3 linked regions of the Astyanax mexicanus genome follow. The protein of the gene in region 1 interacts with the protein of each later gene in a pairwise test. Links are inferred from orthologs where the notes say so. Each region holds a gene or a part of one and is shown in the gene's direction. Other genes may lie near its edges.

Region 1 (7,808 bases):
TATTAATAATGATGCATATATTCATTAGTTTAATGTTTTTTTTCTAAATCAATCTCTTCATCCAGTGTACAGGCCTAAATCCACCTCTAGTACAAGATTCTTGATCTGACTGCAGTCAATGCTTAAATCTTGATTAATGCATTCAGCACTGAGAATAACTCAAAGAAATGTAATTCTAAAGCGAACTTCCTGAGTATTACAGACGCATGACTGGCACTCAAGTAAAGCTGCAAAGAAAACAGAAAGCAGTTTCAGATTAATAGCCAATGCAAGCGAAAAAAAAATCTTCAAGATATTACTGATAAATATCAAAACAGAGGTTGAACCGACAGACACTCGCACACGGGGGGACTATATCAGCATCTCTAATTCACCTGACGGCATTGGTTTGGACTGTGGTAATGGGACAGCGCTGTATTGCTGTTTAATAAATACATAAATAAATTTTAAGCAAAAAAAGTTGAATTATTCAATTCATATTAGCACTGTGGGTGGGAGTGGCAGAAATGTGTATGTGCGGGCAGGCAGGCACATGATTAAATCAAGTGTCTTTTGGTAGGTGCAAGATTAAAACAAGCAATTTTTGGGCAGGTGCAGGATTAAGCGATTTTTGGTTAGTGTAGGATCAAAAAAAGTGTTTTTTGGCGGGTGCAGGATTGAAACAATCGATTTTTGGCGGGTGCGGGTTTAAACAAGTGATTTTTGGCGGAGCAGGATTAAAACAAACAATTTTTGGAGGGTGGGGGGTTAAAACAAACGATTTTTGTGGGCACAGGATTAAAAGAAACAATTTTTGGTGAGTGTAGGATTAAAACAAGCGATTTTTGGTGGGTCTGGGATTAAAAGAAACAATTTTTGTTGCCCGTGGCATTAAAATCAGTAATTTTGGCAGGTGAGGGATTAAAACAATCAGAGAAGCAGACATTCGGGATTAAAACAATCGGGAGCGGGTTTAAAAAAGCAGTCCTGTGCAGACCTCTAACATAAGGTAACACCTTATGATCAATTTACACACTGCTATCCCACGAGTAGGCCTATGTTGTGAAATGTCAGTATTTTTATGCAAGAACAAGATAATGTTTACTGTGGCATGCAAATGTCAGAGCACCTTGTGATCCGAGATGCAAGGTTGCAAGAAAAAGTAAGTAAAGCCTTTGTGATTACATGGATTTCTGCAAAAATTGGTCATTAAATGTGTTCTGATCTTTATCTAAGTCACAACAATAGACAAACACAGTCTGCTTAAACTAATACCACACACAAAAATTATGTTTGCATGGTTTTATTGAACACAACACGTTAACAATCACAGTGAGGGGGGAAAAGCTATGTGAACCCCTAGGCTAATGACTTTTCTAAGATCTAATTGTAGTCAGGATGTGATGAGATTGGATGTGCTGGTTAAAGATGCCCTGCCCCATAAAAACACACCAGTTTTGAGTTCTTTTAAGAAGTTATTATTAGAAGCTTTGCTTGATGTGCAGGGGCGTAGCAGCAAATTCTGGGCCCTGTACACCCTCTATGTTAATGGGCCCCTATCCATGCCAGTAAACAAAGGAAAGTGAGCGAAAAAAAAATCAGGATTTTCATGGGCCCCTCTCCCTACTCGGGCCCTGGGTAGTCAGGTCCACTTTTCCCCCCACTACCACGCCCATGTTGATGTGAATCATGCCTCGCACAAAAGAGCTCTTAGGAGACCTACATTCAAGAATTGTTGACTTGCATGAAGCTGGAAAGGGTTACAAAAGTATCTCTAAAAGCCTTGATGTTCATGTGTCCACGGTAAGACAGACGATCCACAAATAAAGAAATTTCAGCACTGTTGCTACTCTCCCTAGGCGTGGTCTTCCTGCACAGATAACTGCAAGAGCACAGTGCAGAATGATCAATAAGGTGAGGAAGAATCCTAGAGTGTCAGCTGAAGACTTACAGAAATCTCTGGCACATGCTAACATTTTTTGTTGACAAATTTACAATAAGGAAAACATTAAACAAGAATGGAGTTCATGAGAGGACACCACAGAGGAAGCCACTGCTGTTCAAAAAACATTGCTGCACGTTTGAAGTTTGCAAAAGAGCACCTGGATGTTCCACAGCACAACTGGCAAAATATACTGAGGATAGATAAAACCAAAATTGAGTTGTTTGGACGGAACACAAAACGCTATGTATGGATAAAAATGGCACAGCACACACTCATCAAAACCTCATCCCAACTGTGAAACATGGTGGAGGGTGCATCTTGGTTTAGGGCTGCTTTGCTGCCTCAGGGCCTGGAGGGATTGCCGTCATCAACGGAAAAATGAATTCCCCAGTTTACCAAGACATTTTGCAGGAAAACCTAAGACCATCTGGACGCCAACTGAAGCTCAACAGAGGATGAATGATGCAACAGGACAGCGACCCAAAACATAGAAGTAAATCAACAACCGAATAGCTTCAACAGAAGAAAATACGCCTTCTGGAGAGTTCCGACCTCAACCCAATTGAGATGCTGTGGCATGACCACAAGAGAGTGATTCACACCAGATATACCAAGAATATTGCTGAACTGAAACAGTTTTGTGAAGAGGAATCATCCAAAATTCCTCCTGACAGAAAATGTTTGGTTGAGGTTATTGCTGCCAAAGGTGGGTCAGCCAGTTATTAAATCCAAAGGTTCACATACTGTTTCCACCCTGCACTGTGAATTTTAACATGTTGTGTTCAATAAATCGATGCAAATATGTAATTTTTGGTGTGGTATTAGTTTAAGCAGACTGTGTTTGTCTATTGTTGTGACTTAGATGAAGATCAGAACACATTTATTTGACCAATTTATGCAGAAATCCAAGTAATCCCAAAGGATTTACATACCTTTTCTTGCAACTGTATAACAAAGTACTTCACAACTGTAATTAAGTACTAAAATGCTGTATCTGCTGTATCTATTATTATTTTTCTCCGACTTCCACTTTTACTTCAATACATGTTTTCCATGAGTTTTATACTTTTAGTCTGATACATTTTGCACTACATCCTTATTCGGTACCAGGAGGATCGCCAGTACTTTTTAGGGCTCAGGAACCGCAAAAATAATCTTCATTGTCTCATGCGCATGCACAAAACAACACTATTTATTCTGTATTGTCCCACTCTTGATAGGTTCTATGTGTGCCTGCGCATACATGTGTGTGCCCATGAGTCAGTCATGGATATGGGTTGTTTTGTTTAAAATAAAGGGCCATATTCAAATTCATGTAAAAGAATAAAATAAAAAAGGAAAAAATATATATTTCATTGCTCAGTGTGAACAGATGCCCTGAAAATTCCATACTGCTCTGCACTGTCACCGGGTTTGCTGAAGCTGCTCATCATTGGGTGAATTAAGTGACCAAGTTGATCTTATAAGAAGACCTTGCTGCTCACATTCTGCCTTTTGCTCTACTGCCTTCCTGCACTGACAACATTGGAGCTTTGTTAGTTTGTTTTGAGATGGAAGAACCAGAAACATCACCTTCAACTTGGAGTAATGGTGGTGGTGAGGGTGAGGAAGGAGACCCCTTGCCCTATTTATGCTTTAAAGGTGGAGGGATATAGTTGATCTTATTTATTTTTTTTTTTTTACAAATATATAAGCTCTGTGTTTTAAGGTGCTCTAATCTCTTTGCCTTTGACAGGTTTAATTTAGATTTTACAATAGTGATAGACTAGTGACCTTTTATGCTAAATTTGTTAAAATACCTCAACAGTAGCATTTCTTTTGGGTAAGGATGAAAAAAAAAACACTTTTCCTACTGGGTGTTCGGGAGATAACACAAGATAATGCAAGAATATCATATATATGACCTCCAAAAAATATATCATTGAAAAGTTACTCGATTTTAGTAATTTAGTTTAAAATGTAAAAGTCCTATATTAAACATGGTTTACTCTGTGTGTAATACCGAAATAAAATAATTTTAAAATGATATTCTTCTGATTCTAATAAATGTTATTATTGACATTTAAGACCATTTAAATGCCACTGACATAATGGTTACCATGTTAAAGACTTTTTTAATCATATATTGGGAAATTAATACTTTTCTCTTTACTTACTGCAGTCCACACAGCAAGTCGCAATTACTGAAGCATTGGTCATTGCACAACTGGCTAAAATACTGTTCACTATTATAAATATTATCAAACATACAAATAAACGCAATAGATAAAATCACGATTATCAAATATTACTGATGTCACGTCCATTTATTGTGTTATAAGTCAATAATGTATTTTTTTTTCACAAATAATAAAAAACATCTGTACTGATGGCAAACGCGTTTCCATGGCAACATGTTGATTTCCATGTTATACAATAATTTTCTTATTGAAAGAGCGAGTCGGTAAATCTGCGCAGGAGTTAGTTGTTAATAGTTAAGACACGATATAAAGTTACGGGTGTTTGGTGCAGCCGGATTTAGTAAAAAGGAGGTTTGAAACTAACCAGTGCAGTTAACTAAGAACTTAGTAGAGACTTTACACACACACTTTTAAAGGAACTGAAGCTGAAATGGTGCAGCCCTGGTCAGGTTTGTGATCTGTGCTGGGTCTCAGGCCCGGGCGGCAGTAGCAGCAGCAGCAGCGGCAGCACAGTCCACCCCGGCCCGGCCTGGCTTTTCCACAGCGGCGCGGCGGCGGCGGCGGCGGCGGCGGGGTCGCTGAGCGGGGTGTTGTAAATGGAGGAAGCCCCGCCTAGACTATGTGCAGTGCTGACGTGCGTCGGTGCCTCACGTGACTCCTAAGGAATGTTAACAATGCAGTAAGTGTCCAACTTTGTGCTGCATTTCTAAATCTGCCGAGAGGAGCAAGAAAATGGAGGACGAGCTCAGCATATTTAAACTCTGCTTTTTATAAAAACGAGTCCGACCAGCGAAAACCCGAGAAACCGATGTTTAAATCCCCAGCTTTCCTCTGTACACGGGATTTACAGTTCTATCAGTTGGTGAGTAGACCCGCAGCTTTATCACTTTTCGGGCTCTGGGGAAGGGAAGCGCGTGAGGACGAGCCGCTGGAGCTGCTGGAGGTTTGTTTCTCCGTCGTGGTTTGTGTAGAATTGTGGTTAAAGTTGTGTTTGGTTGGTGAGAGGAGCCGCAGCAGCAGCAGCAGCAGGCTGGAGTTTCTCCCTCAGCTGGAGGAGGAATGTCGAGCTGCTTCAGCGGGTCTGCGTTCCTCTCGCTCCATTCGGCCAGAGAGCTCCAACTCCTCCAGGCTCTGGGAAAAGGCCTTTAACTGACTCTCTACAGAACTTACACACCACTAAAACTCTTATAACACCGAGGAAACAGTGAATAGTAACACCAACTGTGATTTAACTGTGATATAATTAAAAAAAAAAGCTCAACAATTCACTGCCTTTTTGAGTAAGTTGTGATTTTGGACTTCTCTCATTTTAAATCCTAATAATAGTCTCATTTTATTGTGTTCTCAGTAACATTGTGTTTTCTAGTGTATTTAAGCATGTTAGATTAAAAACATATTAAAATGGGAATGTATTTGTATTGACAATACGTGCTTCCTGTGCTCTTTAAATATTTTTATTCAAGTGGGTTTAATGTTACAATTAAGATGAGCCTTAGTTAAAGACTAGAAAGTGTTAGGAATAAGCTTAATATAATTAATAATACCATATTTTTAAACAGGTAGTATCACTTTGCTTATACAGTAGCTATAATACTACTCGTACTATTATTTAATTATATATTTTTTAATTACATTAATAATCATAAAAATAATTAAAATCTTTATTATTATAAATACACTAAAAGTATTACTGTTGTTGTTATTATTATTGTTGTTGTTGTTATTTTTATTATTCTAGTGTTTTCTGTGAATGAAGTCCTCATTTCTGTGAATGGATGGTCTCAGGTGTGCTGCCTAATAAAGTGATCACACATACATACACATACCAGTAATATTAAATAGTGCACTATAGTAAATGTACACTAGCTAACTTATATAAGCTATGTATGCCCAGATGATTATGGACACTACAGTACTCAACTACAGTACTTTAGTTAGGTTGCACCCACTGCTGTCACAGATGTGCAAATGCACACACAGGGATTACACAGACTGTGTAGTCCCTGTAGAAAAGTATTTCCAATTAAATGGAATAAACCTGATCCTGTTGATACCATGCCTAACCATGTATTGATCTGTAGAGCAGTGAAACTGTGTTCTCTGAAATGATGCTGCTCCATTCAGCACTTTTGGGAAGACTTGAGAGGGGGGGGGGGGTGTGAGTTGGGTATGGGGTGAGTTGAGGTGGGATGGTGATCATTCAACATCCTGTCCTCACTATTGCTCCTCTTTTGTTGCTGAACGAAATCAGAACCTCACAGCAGTGCTTCAAAATCTAGTGGAAGCTCTTATCAGCACAGAAGACACAGTTACTCCAACAAAAGCAGGATAAATTCTTGTTCCCAACACTTTTGTCCATATAGTGTGTACGTTTCCTCGTTGTTTAACATGCACCAGAAATTGCATTTTATAATTGTATTCTGCATTTTAGTTACAAGTTATTAGTAACTTATTTCAGTAGCTCAGTCAGTGAATAATAACTCTTCTCTAAAGCTCTACCCACCATTCTGCACATCGCACCTCCAACCCACATCAAACACACCTCATTCAGCTAATCAGGGACATCTGAAGGCTGTAATTACTGTATATGGATCAGGTGAGACTGAGTGTGGTCTGATTTGAAATCTGCAGGAAGGTGGATCGTATGTAGCAGGTTTGGCTTAACCAATTTGGCTGATATGTCTTTTACAGTATGTACATCATAGGCTAGACATATCATACAATGTATGGACATGACATCTATCATTTTTGCTGACCCCAGTACTGGCCACGGGGTTTACATCACGAGAAGAATCTATTAATGTGAATGACTTTGTGGCATGTTTTATAATAATCAAAAGTTAATTTCTATTTAAAAGGTATATAAAATGGCACGATTATGCTATTACTGTATATTGTCATTATATAAAAATATATAGTGGTATAAATCTTTGACATATATATCTTGGACAATAATTGTCCAAAAAATATTATTATGACAGGCCTAAAGCATTTATAGTGGTGTAATTTGTTAATGCTGGCTGTATGTCGTGTTTCAGATATTTGTTTTCCATATTATTTTAGGTTCAGTATGAATGCGTAATGTTTATTTAATTTCTCACAGTGAGTTTTGTGGGTTTGGGTGTTGACTGATGTTTGACACTGTGAATAGTAGCTGTTGTGGACAGTGAGTGTAGAGTGCCCAGAGAAATGGATATTACAGTGTAGAGATGTGTGTTAAGCCAGGTACACCACATGTGACAGTACAGATTAGGTCATGTTTTCAATCTTTGTGTTGTGGAAAATTTTTACTGAATCGTGTTGAATATATTTTGTACTCTGAACATTCTGGCTTGTTTTGAATTAATTCCATTATGTTACACAGAGCTTATCTTATCAAATAGCTTACCTGGTTCTGTGTTGTTCAGCTTTGTGTCCATTGAATGTGTTCTGAAAAGAACCTGTGGGAACTCCTCAACTGTTTTGTTGCTTTAAGTTTGTGCTGGGGACCTGAGGTGGTGATGATGGTGATGATGAAAGCCTGCTGAAGGCTGAGCTGTGACGTCTTGGGACTGGTATGTGTATCTGTGACATTCATTCGGCAACTTTTAATAGGAGGCAGTGACCCAATGTCTATAGTAGTACACCTGATACTGAACAACTGTGATGTTTGTTTTTATAGTGTGTTGTTTGTTCTGTTTTGTGCAAGTTTTGTGCAATATACT
Region 2 (7,973 bases), on another chromosome or scaffold:
ATGAACTGTATAGCTACTTATAATGTTACAGATTAATGTTATAATGTTAAAAATATTAAAGGGCATATTTCAATCAACCTGTTTTATTTGTATTGTCCTCAATATTGGTGTAGAATGTAAACATTCCACAGTCAGCACAATTTATCTGTGGGAATGAACCCTATTTTAAACATGACTTTACAAAAACAGTTGTTTTAAGATGGGCTTTATTTACAATGTAGAACAGTTTGGCTCCACCCATTCAGACTGCCGTTATAAAAAGTGTTTTAACCTGGACTGCTTATTGAGTATGGCACAATAGAGGGAGGCCAGTCTGAACAGGGTTTAATTCTACAGTTACTTCAGTAATAAAGGCACAGAAACATCTGTTCTGTTCTGATAAAAGGGGTTAAGGCGAGAGTTGAGAATAAACAGAGGCAGTTTTAGCTGATTAGTCTCTCATAAATGAAAATGACTACACGATGAACATACAGAACAGTGATTACCTCTCATCCAGGCCTCTCCTCCTCCTCCGTCCTCTTCCTCCTGCTGCTGCTGCTCCTCCGCGGGTCTCCGCAGCGCGGTGGTCGCGGTGGTGCCGTTGCGGCTGTAGGCGGTGAAGCCGCGCTGCGGCGAGTACGCGCACACGCTCGCGCCTCGATAGGTGCAGTTGAAGAGGTAACAGCGGGGCCCGTCGCGCGGGGCCGCGCGCTCCTCGCGCACCACCACGGCCACGGTGCAGCGCGGCTCGGCGCAGCACGCGCGCAGGCAGTCGGCGGGGTCGCGCGCGTCGCTCGGAGCGGACAGGAAGGTGGCGCCGCGCTCGATGGACACGGCCGCGCGGATGATGTGCGACTCGGCCGAGTCGAAGCGGCTGAGGCAGGCTGCCGCCACGGGCCCGTGCTCCCGCTCTTCATCCTCCCCTACCTCCCCCTCATCATCCTCATCCTGCTCATCCTCCTGCTCGTGCTCGTAAGGCTGCTCCTCGTGCTGCAGCTGCTGGCGGAACTCCTCCAGCAGCTCCTCCACACCGCTGATCTTGCTCTTGAGGTCCGACAGCGGCGAGGAGACGGCGCGCGAGGCGCTCGAGCTCACCGGAAGCGCGGAGAGCACACAGCAGAGCAGCGGCGCGAGGACGCGCGTGACGATGTTTAGCCTCATGGTGCTGTCGGGGAAAGAACGCTCGCTGTCCTTCTCATTACCATCAGCATCGTCTCCGCGCGTACCAGCCCATATTCCCTCTCTTTTTCACTCTCCTCTTATGCCCTTATCTCTCTCTATTTATCCCCCTATCTATCTATCTCTCTCCCACTCACACTCACTGGCTCGCTCGCTCAGTTCAGCAGGTGCTCGAGCTCGCCTCTGGTCCTCGGGGGACGGAGGATGCTAGAGTGAGGCGAGCAAGCGCATGCGCACTGAAATTGGGAGTCCGAATGAGCGAGCGAAAAAAAGAGAGAGAGGGAGGTAGATGAAATCCTGACGTGACGTCCCGTTTTGTCTCGCGGTACCTGAAGGAGGCCGAGCCCTACAACAACAACACCCCCCCCCCCCCCACACACACACACAAAAGTGCACGTTGACGTCATGCCAGATGCGAAGCCCATCCTTTGTTGTGCACTTCGATGGTGGTCTTATTTTTTTCCCACCCCTTTACGTACGCCCCCCCAGGGTTGTTTGGACTTCTGTCCTTCAAATAGTAGGGATGGCTGTTATGAAGTGCCTCATACACTGCAGTCAGAAGACTGTGTTCCAAACAGTGCCCTTCCCAGTAGAAAAAATAATTTAAAAAATAATTTAAAAAATAATTTTGGTGCTCTATAGGGTTCTCTTATAGGTGAGATAACAAGTAAACAATTAGGTGTTCACCAATTGTTGGCCATTATCTTGCTGCATGGTGAAGCATCTCCTAATTAATTTGGTTGCACCTTTCTTTAAATTGACAGACATGTTTCTACATCGATGAAGATTAATGAATCTGTCATGCAATATGCCCATATTGTTTCTGTCATCAACTGCTGTGGATTTCCTTAGTCTACCTGTTCGACATCTGTTACTTAATACACCAGTGACAACTTTTTTTGTTTAGGGCATTGCAAACTGTAGTACAGACTATAAACAATATTTGTATAATGGCTCTAATGTATTTTCCATCTGCTCTTAGCATTACAGTTGCTTGTTTTACTCAGGGACATGTTGTTACTCCTCTAACTATAAATGCACAGTCTTTACAGACAAAACCCAAATCTGAAACTGAGTGTAGACATTTATTGCTATTTATTTTGTAAATAATCAATGTATCAGGACACACCAGATCAAGAAATACAACTGACACCTGTCACACATTCCAATACTTTGACTTACAAGAAAATTTTGTGGGTTCAAAAGGTCTATTGTGTAAACTGTGTATCAGTGCCAAATGTAAACAACTGTAAATAAAAGCTGAAATGTTGATCTTTTTCTTTTTTTAAGAAGTATAATAAAAAAAAACTCAAATGTTTGCAGTGTACAGCAGAGATACATGGATTGGCCTCGCTCTTCTAATACATTTGGAGGGGACTGTATTTGCCATCACAATAAAATTAACTCTTTAATAGTAAAAAACAAAGTAATTTGTTGTCAGCTCATTCTCACTGTTAAACATTTAAAGTATACAGATTTTTTAAGAGCTGATGTGACCTCAAATCACGCAGTTGGTGTTTATTTATTTTATTGCTTTAATACAGTTTAGAGTCATTTATACAAATTAAATGATATGAGCAGGATTGAGACATTTTGTGAACAAGTAGCGCTTGAATATTTATTCATGAATATATAATAAAAAAAAAAAACATAATTTCTATTTACAGGTACTTTTTTCAGTTTTTAATTATTATAACAATGTCAAGGCAATGTCTAGTATATTGTATATCCTAAAATAGCAGCTTAAAAATCACTAAGCATAAAAAATTAACAAGACACTGCAATATGTAACTCTGGTGAAGTGGAGAGGACAATGTTCACAACAACTGTGTAATGCTGTGTAGCCTGAGCCATTGTTGCATAAAAGTCCACGTGATTCCATTCACTTTCTGGGATGGTTCTGCAGATCTTCTTGCAAAATGCATGTAAAAAGTGTGTGCTTTAGTGGTTGCTCAAAGCACAAATTGCACTTTACTGTAGGGGGAGACAAGAAGCGACAAGGTCAAGCAGCAACATAATGCTGCTTTAAACACCGTTTTGTTTATTTTCACAACAGTACTAGGTCAGCTCAGTGATAAAATTAGTGGCAACCAGGAATTGTCCTGCACTTCTTAAAAGTGTCACAACAGGTAATTTGAGCAATGGTAATTATGTTCAAGAACATTCACAATGTGTAGTTCATACATGCTTTAAGATTGCCATTATCATCCCTGTGATGAGGAAGTCCCCAGTGTCATATGTCAATGATTACTGTTTCATTGCTACCAACTGTTCAAGACATTGCATCCTGTCCACCATATCCCACCTAGTCCTCACCCTCCTGGAAAATGAAGACACATACTGTTCACTGACAGCATTCAACACTACCGTCTCTCAGCATCTGGCTGGAAAACTGAGTCTGCTGGGCCTGAACAACTCCCTGTGTAACTGGGTTCTGGATTTCCTGAAGTGACGTAAGGGCATCCCACTACAGAGGCATTAACCAGGCCATGCCACTAGAGGTGGCTGTGACTTCATTTGCAACAGAGAGTTTAATTCTTCTCTGCAGGATGCAGTGATACTTATTCTGGTCATTCTTAAGGGCTATTGTGTATACAGCTATTGTGCTACTACAGATAGTGGAGTGTATTTATTTAGTGATTTGTTGATGCTGTTTCCCCAGTCCTCAGTAGTCCTCATTGAGGACATCCCCTACGAAGAATCTATAGTCCTGTGGGTCCCAGTCCTTTTCCTGAAATCCTCATGCACTTATTTTTTTTCAAGCACACACATCTTAAGTATATGAGGGCCCCTTTATGTTATTACAAAGCGGGTAAACACACGAAAACATGCAGTGTCGGTTAGCAGTTGAAAAATACTAAGGGTTGTTAATTTGCATTGTCAAAAGAGGGCCACTAGAGGTCAGCATTATGACTTGACAATCGTCTTTCTGTAGAGAAAGTTTAGTTAAAGAAATTTGTTTTAAATCTCATGATGTTAAAAGAGCCTACCCTTGCTGAAACAGCAAAATGTGTAATGTGACAGTGCTGTATTTATTTATTTATTTTTTTTTTTAAACTTCTCCACGCAGTAGTTTGTTTAGTATTTAGTATGCCATGTCAAAGTTACCATCATGTAACATATAAACAGTCCCCTTCAAAAGTATTGGTGGAACAGTGAGGCTGATCCCCCTGTTTCTGCTGTAGACTGAAAACATTTGGGTTTGCCATTAAAATGTGAATATGAGACTAAAGATCAGCTTTTCAGCTTCTGTTTTCATGTATTTACATCTGGATCTGGTACACAGTTCAGAAGATAGCACCTTCTGTCTGAACCCACCAACTTTTTTCAATTATTTCAGTCTACAGCAGAAATAAATGGATTGACCTTGCACGTACCCCATAACTGTACTCTCTCTCTCTTAAAACATTGTCTTATTGTAACATGTACTCCACAGCCTTATAACAATTTACTGCATTAATCTTCTGCGATGTAGCTTTCGTAGGCAGTACATTCCACCAGTGTAAACAATTCTGAGCAGTACAACTTTCCTAGAATTCCTAGAATGACCCGTTTCAGCAGAACCTCCTCTGAATTAGTTCACATTTTAACCGTTTCATCACAAGAGACGCTTTTAAAAAGGCGGTGGAATTCCCCTTTATCCAGAACGTGAGTAATGTCCAACAGAAATCCCCCGTCACCTCCTCCATGTTCACTTTCGACCGCCTGACTCTTTAAAAGGCGTTCCCGGTATGCTAATACGCCCCGCCCCGTTTTCGCGTGAGTAGTGTGTGTGTGTGTGAGTTCTGGTGATGTGGAGGAGATAACAGTGGTGATAGGGCAGGGTCCGCACGAGCCCGCGAGCGAGCAGTCAGGCAGCGTGTGAGTGTGACTCGTTTTCGTGTTTGTTTTCGCAGCGCGATGAGCTGAGCTCGTGCAGCCTCGCGCGCCGGATCCGTCGAGCTGGTGTTGTGGTGAACATGGTCTCGCGCAGCGCGGATCGTCGAGGACTTCCCTCTCCTCCTCCTGCGGCTCTCCGACGCGTCGTGCGGCAACTTCAACTCCTCCGCGTCGTCGTGCTGCGCGGAGAGGCGCGCGGGCTCTCGGAGCCACGGCTCACCGAGAGCACTCACTTTTGAACGGACAAACAGCGCGCGCGCGCGTCGTGACTCGAGGCTGGAACGAGCGCGTGGCCGCTGACTTGACAGCAACAACAAACCGGCTGGGCAGCGGCGCTAGCGCTGCAGGACCATTTACCTACGTGTTTTTACATTTTTAACTAATTATTCACAACTTTTTTTAATGAATCTAGGATTTTCATCTTTTTTTTAACATCTGAGTGAAGAACAGAACAGTGATTTATTTCGTTATTATTATTTTATATATATTTTTTATTATTCTGCGCGGAGGAATGTCTAAAACTCGTTTGCAGAAGAAACTGGAACTGAAGTGACTGGAGGAGCGTTTTTACTGTTTTTCTTCTCTTTTCTTTTCCTCCTCCTCCGTAGAAGAAGAAGGGGAGGATGAACCCGGAGCCGGAGTGCGTCTCTCTGCCGGTTCCGTGTCGCGAGGACTGCTCGCGCCCCGCCGTGCCCGCCGCCGGCACCTTCTGGCAGGACGCGTCCTCGGCGGTGGCGGCGGCGGCGGCGGGGGTCATTGCGGGATGCCCCGCGGAGAGCGGACTCGGAGCCGGGCTCGGGGGGCTGCTTACACCGGGGAAGTGCAAAAACCGGCGGGCGAGTGTGGCTTACGTGCTGAACTCGGAGACGGGAGCCGAGAGCATGGCCCTGCAGTGCCTGCGGGACGCCTGCGAGGCCGTGGGCACCGCGCTCGAGATCGTGCTCTTCGGGAAGCTGGACTTCGGAGAGACGGCCGTACTCGACCGCTTTTACAACGCAGGTAGGTGCAGCGCTGTTTATCCCAGTTCTAAGGACTCGCTGTGAAGCTGATTCACACGCTGGTAGACTGAGAGTGAAACTGAGGAGGTGGGCTCACCAGTCTAAAGAACATAGATAGTGACAGACAGATATGTCTATTAGACAGTGAGCCAACAGTAGTAGAGTTTAGAGCAGTTCCCATTGGACAACCTTCACTATCTGGGAAAAAAAACACACTTTCTCTTGGTTATTCTAGTCAACCAGCATTGAGTAGTCATTCAGGTGGATTTGGGGTGAAATGCTTCAATCTACCCAATTGAAAAACATAGCCAACAGAACGGCTGATGTTGTTCAAGATTAGGATAGTTGCTCAGCTTAGCTCTTGACTAGTTTTGGTTAAAGTTTGATGAGTTTGGACTAAAGTGGGGCTGCAACTGTTGATTATCTTGGTAGTCAACTTTGTGATGATTATATTTTCGATTAGTCGATTAATCAACTATTATTTCTGTCATGTTCTCCATCTCTAAAAACAATAGAAACAGCTGAACATGAGATTTTAAAAGACATTTAAATGTCTAGATGCTTTTTAAATGTGGAAAGTACTAATATTTTGTGAGTAAATATGTAATCTCTAGTGTTTGGGCACTTTTGGAGTTGAGTGTAAACTGTGTGAGTGAGCCACTCAGTGAGCTACTCTTCTGTCTCCAGCACTTTGTGTAATGCAGGACTGTTACAAATGAACGATTAGTTGACAATTAAATTTGTAGTCGATGCATTTAAATAATCGACATTGACGATTATATCGACTTATTGTTGCAGCCCTAGACTAAAGCATGATCAACCTGACCAAGCTAAACCACCACTCTGACCAATCTTGACCATGCTGATGGACCGCATAATCAGCATCACCATGCTGGTTGACCAGCATAACCATCATGACCAAGCATGTTGGACAGCATTACCAACATCACCTAAGCTGGGCTGACCAGCATAATAAACATCATCAAGCTGGTTGACCAGCCCCACCACTTAATCAGCATCACCAGTTTGGATGGCCAGCATGACCAACATTGCTTAACTGGTCGACCACTATGATCAGCATGCCCAGAAAAACCATGCTTGGCCAAGAAAAACCAACATGACCAAGCCATGACCTAACTCAGAAACAGCATACGCAGTGTTGGTCAGAAGGTGGCTGACCAGCTAGCTTCCCAGCATAGGTTAATTATATATCTGGAAGACCAGGCTTCTAACCACCTTAACCATTACCTCAGCTAGAAGCAAATGCTGGTCTTGAGCTGGATTTTTCAGCAGGGTGGAGTAACTTACCAAAACATACAATAGAGGTGACTGGAACCAATGGTCACCATGACTTTAACACACAAATTGCCATTTAATCAACTATCTACAGTGTTTGGTGCACCTAAATTGGTGTACTTGGTGTACTTTTGTTAACACACTTTTTTTTAGCTCTCTGGATAAAAAATGCATTGACTGTTATAAAATAATGCTACAGGCATATTCAAAACCAAAGGTACGGTGGTGCTTGGAAGTTTGTGAAAGTTTGTGCTTAATACTGGATCCATTTTCTTAATAAATAAATGGGCAAGTTTTGTAATTTTTCATTTGTTGCCTTTGAGTTGATTTTTCTTATGTGCTAGGATTTGTGAAAATTTGTTTTATGTCAAATTTATGCAGAAGTATCAGAAAATCTCAAACAGTTCATAAACCTTCAATCACCAATATATCTGTAGTTGTTTCTGTCACCCAGTTTCAAATATGTTTGCTCTTGCAGAAACAAAAATCCTGCAAAACACAAGACATTTATCAGAAGTTAAACAAACCTAACAAGAAGTGGGTAGTTCTGTATAAAAGTACACACTAAGCAAATGTGGTTAATCCTGAAAGTGCAAGTAAAATTACTTTGAGGACATGGATAGTAATTCTCAAACACTGTCC
Region 3 (7,577 bases), on another chromosome or scaffold:
TTATCCACACATCTACTATATAGTTACAAAAAAATGGTGATAAGTATCATGGTACAGATATATAGTGATTTTCTAAATCAAATATATATTATAAAGGAACACAATCATATGCACAAAAGCTGAGTTCTCTTTTTATCCAATCTGAACAGTGGGATCTGAAGAAATTTCTACACTACCATCTCGCAGTCTGGGTTTAAACACAAAATGAAATGAACCATTCATAAACAATCTATACTGTATGTCAAAACATTCCTTTTGATACCTCAATATTTCCGTACAACCCAAGTTACATTAATTATATTGTTATTTTTTGCCATAATGGGCATTTGTTGATCTGTGTCTGTTGTCTTTTGTGTTCATGTCTGTAGCTGTGTGGATTTTTGACGGAGGTTGTTATCGATCAGCTGCCCAATCTTTCTGATCTTCAACGTTTCCTCAGTCATCTAGCTGTTACAGACCCGGCACCACCAAAAAAAGAACTCATCCTCGAGCAGGTACACTGCTGCTACACACACACTTTCTTTATCACTGTATTGCTAGAGAGGTTGTGAACCCATTACAGTTTTTTTGTATTTTCTGTATTACACTTAAATTCAAATGTAGATCTTGGATCTTGTCTATAATTAATTGAGCCTTTGGACCCAGGGCAGAAAAGCAGCCTGATAATGCCATCTCCATGCACAACAGTTGGGATATGGTTCGCTTTCCATTTAAACAAAAGTTTTCTGTTTAAGATTTTTCTGTTTTCTAGGATTTTTCTGTTGTCTGTTTTTGTTTTCTGTTGCCATCCATGTAGTATCCAGTTCTTCACTTCAGATGTGCAGCAGTGTTCAGTGTCCTTGCCCTTGGACTATAACCGTTGTGTTAAGTTACCTCCATTTGCACATAATCTTTCTCGTATAAGTGGGTTGCTTGGGCATTCTTAATTCTTAACTTTTTATCCTTTCTTCCTTCCTTTTTCTCCTTTGTTTGAGCCATTCCACAAAGTTCTGTGGTGAAGATTGTAAAGTTTATGTTTTTTTTTGTTATCCAATTACAGGTCAATTATGTAGGCATACAGAAAACTGTAAAGGGTTTACGTTTTTAAATAGATAAATGCAGATCATACGCCATTAGAATCTAAATCAAATATACTGATTTAATTAATAAACCATTTCTGACTAAATACTGTTTTAGCTTCCAGAAATTTGGAATGAAATTGTTGCTGAGAATTCTGGCAAGTGGAAGGCTATAGCAAAGCATCAGGTGCAGAAAGTGTTCAACCCATCCGAGAGTGAGCTGAGACAACAGGCAAACAGGTGAGTTTTAAATTTAGAAATGTGCATGCAATGTGTGATTAGTTCAGTATGATGAGCTGTGTGTGCCTGCTCCCCAGGTTGGCTGAGATGTATAATCTTGATCTGATGGAGAGTCTTATACCGGATAAGCCAAAGTGCGGAACTTGTGGTGCGGAGGGGATCAAACGCTGCTCCCGCTGCCAGGGGGAGTGGTACTGTAACAGGTATCCTACATTTACCTAACAGCAAATATATCTCAACCCTGAAACTAAGGAATCTGTATTAAATTGGATGTTTTGGATGTAAAATTCAGACCATGGCTACCTTTCAGAATGGTAGGACTAGCCATGCTACAGTGCCCCCAGAAACGGAGAGGGTTAATGGCCTTGTACAAGGACTCAAAAATGGCATTTTTTGAGCCTTGTGATCAGTAAGTCAGTGCTTATATTTGTATTATATACCTCATGGCTACTGATAACACTGGCATTATTGGAACAGCTGTGAGGTTGCTGACAGTGTGCATGCAGTGGTGTTTCATGCTATCTTATGAACACTAATACTTTTGGTTGTAAATTTGCATTTAATTTGGGCATTTTTCATTATACGACTACAAAAACAAAAAATAGTGGATTATGGATTATGGATCTAGTTTGACGTTCTAATGTACATGCAGCTCTACACACTAGGGGTGAGTGATATGGCCCTAAAATAATATCACGATATTTCACGGTATTTTCGCCATATCGATACTCTTGGTGATTTGACAAAACACTAAATTACAAAAATTATTTAAAGAATACACTACTGCAACAAAAGGAAATTTGTATTTTATTATTTCATACAATACGATATGACACACCCCTAACTGAGGTATTAAAAATACAACAATTGTATCAGATTTGTAACAGAAGTCAATGATCCAGAATGTCATGATACTAATAATGAACTCCAAATATCTCCATATATCCAGGATTAACGTAAAATAAATGATATTGGAGAGATATGATATGTCTCTAGTAGATATATAATGGGAAACGAGAAGAGTGTAAATTATTTTTTTGCTAAAAACAGCAAAAAAGTAGTACCCTGGTGTGATAATTAGGGGTGGGTGATATGGCACGATATTTCAGGGTATAATATTGTTAACGATATTCAAAAATGTTGGCGATATTGTTGCGTCTGATACGATATAGCACACCCCTACTACACACACATAGTTCTTTCTTCCTGAAAACTTGTTCTATATTTGAAACCAAAAAATTCGCATTATGCACTATTTACAGCTTTAATTCAGTTTTGAGTTCTACAAAAGTATGTGTCTTTCAGAAACATTCACTAATGAAATTCAGCAACTCCCCACAGGTTTCTGTTGTGAGTCAGTGTGTTTTCTGGCTTTTTATAGTTCTGGGGAAATGATTCTTACTGACCGTATGCCACAGAAGCTGAGGATAGAGATAAGATCACCAGACAACTAAAGTGCACTAGACACAGCCACAACTCTTTCAGACTTTGATTAGATACCAGCTACATTGTTCTAAATAATACATATGTTTCCTTGTAGAGAGTGTCAGGTGAAGCACTGGCCCAAGCACAAACTTGCCTGCCAGCTGATGGCAGAGGCCACAGAGAAACTACAGAAGGAGCTGAACATCAAGACCTGAGCAGACCGAAAATGGAAAGAGGCAGAGACTTCAGATGCAGAATCACAGAGAAGAGCAGACAGACAAATGACTAAACTCCATTATCACACTGACCTTTGTAGAATGTGTTGCTATGGTTATGGTGGTCATAATGGGAACTGAGGAAGAGAAGGAGTTTTCCTCTGCTCAAGTGAGCAGAGCATGTGCATGTTTTTCCCTGAAAATGTAAAAAAAAAAAACTTTTATAGTTCTCATAAGTGTTAGAACATTCTGCACACTGCTTCCCCATGACCAAAGGTATATGTATGAACAATGCAGATGCTTTATCCTTCACTCTCATTTCCCTGTACTTCCCTTTTGTTTGTTGGGTGGTACAACTTCTGGTACACAATATAGGCTACTGTTTGTTTCTCAACATTGAAACCCTGACTTTTGGCTAATACATGCATAAGATATATGATAGCTATATGTTGGTGCCATATGTTAATAAACACTTTAATAAATCTCCAGTGAATTGAACAACCTTGAATGTTTTTGTACAGTTTCTGTGTGTGTGTTTTGATGGCTTGTTTGATCCATATAATTACACAGTGACAAATTAGTTTAAAGTAAATTGAAGTCCATTCCTAGCACTCTAAAATATATGATGTTTTTAATCCTGTACACATTTTCCCATTAATGGGAGAATTGCTGTCGCATTCTTTTAAAGTGCCACATCATTTTTGGAATACTGTCTCATTATTTCGACTATTTCACAGTAATGGTTTATCACAAAACTATGAAAAAGTGTTTCGAAACAATGACTTAGTTTCTCAGAACAATGAAATGGTATCTCCAAACAATAAGATAATATCTCATAATAACTTAGTATATCAAAACAATTTGAGGGTATCTCATGACTTCGTGTCTTAAGACCATGTGAGGGTGTTTCAAAACAATGAGATATATATCTGATAATATTGACTTAGCATCTTAAAACAATAATAAAAATGACTCTCAAAACAATGTGATGGCATCTCAAAATAACTAATTAGTATATTAGAACAATGAGACATTATCCCAAAATAATGACTTGGTGTCTCAAAACAATGTGAGGATATCTCAAAAAATGTGATGGTATCTCTAAATTATGGCTTAGCCAACATTATCTTAAAATAATGACTTTTCTCAAAACAATATGATGGCATCTCAAAACAATGAATTAGTATCTTAGAACAATGAGATATTATCTCAAAATGACTTTGTGTCTTAAAACAATGTGATGGCATCTCAAAATAATGAATCTTAAAACAAGGTGAGGGTATCTCAAAAAATATGATGTAATCTTAAAACAATAGTAGTAGTAGACAGTATCTCTGAATCTCAGATAGTATCCCAGAATAATGACGTAGTACCTCAGAACAATAAGATATGAGTATCTCAAAATAATGACTTGGCATCTCAAACTAATGAGACAGCTATTTCCAAAACAATGGAAAAAATATATTTGGGGATTTTGTAAGTGTTTATAAAAAGACCAAATCATGGAAAATTTACTTTCCTTTTAAATTTAAAGAAAGTTTGATTTTTTTATTCAAACATGCTAATCCCACACGCGCACACACACAGGCACAGCATACACACACTCACACCCACAGAGGGCATGGCTGGAGAGCAGGCTGTGGGCTGGAGTGATACAGTGTGATTCTGCAGATGTAGTTACAGAGTCTTTAGCTCGCTGGCTGGATCCACTCAAAACCCAAAATAAGAGAGAAGAAGAAACTTACCACTCTTCTCTTTTACCAGCAGGAAGGAAAGGGGTTATTTCGTCGCTGCTTTGAGACATATCCGAAGAAATGACGCCAACATTTCGTGAGCCGTGGACGTTATCTTTCTCTGCGTTTCGCTATAAGCAGAAAAATGGAGACGAAGCGCTGGATTTGAAGCTGCTCAAACCCTCGTTCATGTGAAGGCGATTCCTGGAGCTTACCGTGGTGCTGTCTGCTCTTCATACCCGCGGGTGAGCTCTCAGCTCGGTGTCTGAGCTGAAGACAAGCAGCAGCCTTTTCTCTCAGCGGAATTGTCTTTTTAAAACTTCACCAGTCCTCTCAGCCATGCGGTAGGAGACCACCAAAGTTTTGCTTTAAAAGTGCTAGGTTAACATTTTATCTCAGACATAGTTTTAAACCTAACGTTTTTTAAAAGTAGAAGTACAAAATGTACTATACTGTATTTTTATAACTAGGGTGTCAACCAAAGTCTGTTTAGAAATCTACCTTTATTTAGGAGATATATGTGATACATTCTATATATTCTTTTAAAACTAGTTTTTAAACTATAGTTAACTAGGTAGGTTATGTAGGATAACTTATCTTTCCAGTGGGAAAGTGAATGTATTGTAGCTTACCTTTAAATCTCTTTTCAACCACTCAACTGGTCCTCAAAGACCCTTGTTGGAAAGTTTATTTGACATTTTTTCATTGTATGTGTTCTTTGAAAGACAGCATATTTAGCCGTTACCTGTACAATACCCTTAATTCTGACACTTGTATTGTATTTGTACTTCATCCTTCTTCTTCTTAATCTAAAATTTGCCAAACAATCTTTAGCCTGTCTCTTAATCGTATGGCTCTTAAGTATTATTATTATTTGACCTAAACCACAGGCCTTTCCTGAAACATCAGCAGATCTCATTTGCTCATGTTTTTCACCACAGAAATGATTCAAAGAGCTACCTAACCCTAAAACCACTTGTCAGGCTGGTGTTGATTCTACATTTCAAAGCCTTAACAAACTATATACTGTGATGATTTCTTAAAGTTAAAAAGACCTTTAATCTAAATGTCAGACATCATTCAAGGTCATCATACATAACCTGACAGACTAAGTTTAAACTGCACTGACTGCAGTGGAAAAGAACAATGAAAGCCAATAAAACCCCGCATTTTTTGAAGTCATCAAACCAAAAGTCATTACCTCTTAACTACACATCATGATGCCCAATGTCTGAAAAAAATGGCTTATTTCAAATGAGTCAAGGCAAGAGTCAGCTACAGTTGAGTGGACATACTGGACAAGACAGCCGTTGATCACTGGAAAGCATGTCTTTTGGTGAGATGATTGAGCTTAAAGAGCTCACCATGCTGGAGGGCCGCATTGAACTTACTGCTTCTGCACCATCTCGGACTACTCGTTTGGAGAGGGTCAATGCATTGAGGATAAGCCCAGGGAAAGTTCCTGAGCTGATAAACCGGGTCAGGATCATCAGACTACTGGGGGACTCTATGGATGACCCAAGACTTGTGGATGATACAGGAGAAGGCCATAACTTTCAGCCCTGCAGCCATACTCAACCCACGTGGTGTGACCTGTGTGGAGACTTCATCTGGGGGTTGTACAGACAAAGCCTTCGCTGTACAAGTGAGTATCACCTTCATTGTGCTTCCTGTGAATTGAATGAAATAGTTTATTCTTTAACCCCTCAGTCTGAAGCCCTCAAACATAATATTGTAGTTACCAAATCTATCAAGTAGTTACATAGTTAATACATGAACACAGTTTAGGATTAACAACTTAATAACAAGCTAAATGTTTAAGGAAGTTTTGTATAGTGCAGTCTGTGATGTAGATTTACATCCATGCATCGACAAGCTTAAAAGTAATGAAAAGTAAGGTATATGATCCACATAATCCATGAATGTTCTCGGTATATAGTCGCTATCCAGCAGTCTCTAAAACAGCAACTTTTACAGAAGAGAGAAAAAACTTGTATAAATATATTTTTCAAGATAGGATTGTCTCTCAGTTTCTCTTCTTTTCTTTTCTCTTACAAAATGAATGGCTTGTCACACACCCCTGTTAGTGGTTGGGTTTTTCTTCTCTACACATTTCCCAACACATTCCCACAACCTCTCAGTAAGATTTATATCTGATGAGTGATTGTATTGTAGTAGTATTATCTGAACTTCCTTATTTGTTAACCAAATTCATCACTGGATGAAAAGCGTGGCATCTTTCTTTGTTGTATTATTTTATTGAGTATAAGTTGTAGTTATTCAACAAAAAAGAAATGATCAGTAAAAGGAGTCTGTAAGAAACACGCAGAACAGTTAATGAGTTGTTACAACTACAACTAGTTAATCCTCTCACTCTACCATACATAACATAATCTTCTGGAGTTTGCTCTAAACTATTTTTTGGCACCAAACACAAAACATTAGAACATGCTGATAACAGTAGGATAGTTATTTGACACATAAATAGGTTGGCACAAAAATGTGAATGTCATTTTACAACCCTGTTATTTTGATAATAGATCTGTATATTTCATTTATTTTATAAAAAATAAACTTGTGCTTTCCCTTCTGATGAGTCTGTAGGTCCAGGTTGATTGGTCATTTGAGGGAGTTTGGATAAAAGACAGCTAAAAATAAATGCTGGCATCTGCCTGTGTTAACGCCCTTTTAAGTCCGATTTGTTTTATGGACAGGAACAAATACCTATTTATGGCGCCCTAAAATGAAAGACTTCAACACTGTTTGATACTCTGCTTTGTTGGATGTGTTAAAATCAGACTGACCTATCAGAGGTTTATTTTCCTGGTCGCAGACCATAAAAATAAGTCTCACATTAGCAGATTAGAACACAAAAGCTTAGCTATATGAAGAGCAACTCACTGACT

Evidence for each region.
Region 2: the proteins of lats2 (region 1) and map3k5 come close enough for resonance energy transfer, tested with the Homo sapiens proteins (2 studies listed by BioGRID, with this or other methods). The link is inferred for Astyanax mexicanus from reciprocal best matches to the Homo sapiens genes LATS2 and MAP3K5.
Region 3: the proteins of lats2 (region 1) and ras association domain-containing protein 1 come close enough for resonance energy transfer, tested with the Homo sapiens proteins (2 studies listed by BioGRID). The link is inferred for Astyanax mexicanus from reciprocal best matches to the Homo sapiens genes LATS2 and RASSF1.

Annotation. Positions count from the first base shown.
Region 1 is NC_064418.1:25,406,771-25,414,578, reverse strand, and holds the start of lats2 (serine/threonine-protein kinase LATS2), read left to right. Parts: upstream 1-4,794; 5' UTR 4,795-4,966; intron 4,967-5,007; exon of another isoform or gene 5,008-5,047; intron 5,048-7,808. UniProt on the Homo sapiens protein: Negative regulator of YAP1 in the Hippo signaling pathway that plays a pivotal role in organ size control and tumor suppression by restricting proliferation and promoting apoptosis.
Region 2 is NC_064408.1:49,309,820-49,317,792, reverse strand, and holds the start of map3k5 (mitogen-activated protein kinase kinase kinase 5), read left to right. Parts: upstream 1-4,927; 5' UTR 4,928-5,660; coding exon 5,661-6,036; intron 6,037-7,973. Other genes in the region: lrp11 (low-density lipoprotein receptor-related protein 11), read right to left, coding at 486-1,140. UniProt on the Homo sapiens protein: Serine/threonine kinase which acts as an essential component of the MAP kinase signal transduction pathway. Plays an important role in the cascades of cellular responses evoked by changes in the environment.
Region 3 is NC_064412.1:14,811,520-14,819,096, reverse strand, and holds the start of ras association domain-containing protein 1, read left to right. Parts: upstream 1-4,557; 5' UTR 4,558-5,997; coding exon 5,998-6,316; intron 6,317-7,577. Other genes in the region: zmynd10 (zinc finger MYND domain-containing protein 10), read left to right, coding at 369-494, 1,177-1,298, 1,376-1,501, 2,839-2,938. UniProt on the Homo sapiens protein: Potential tumor suppressor. Required for death receptor-dependent apoptosis. Mediates activation of STK3/MST2 and STK4/MST1 during Fas-induced apoptosis by preventing their dephosphorylation.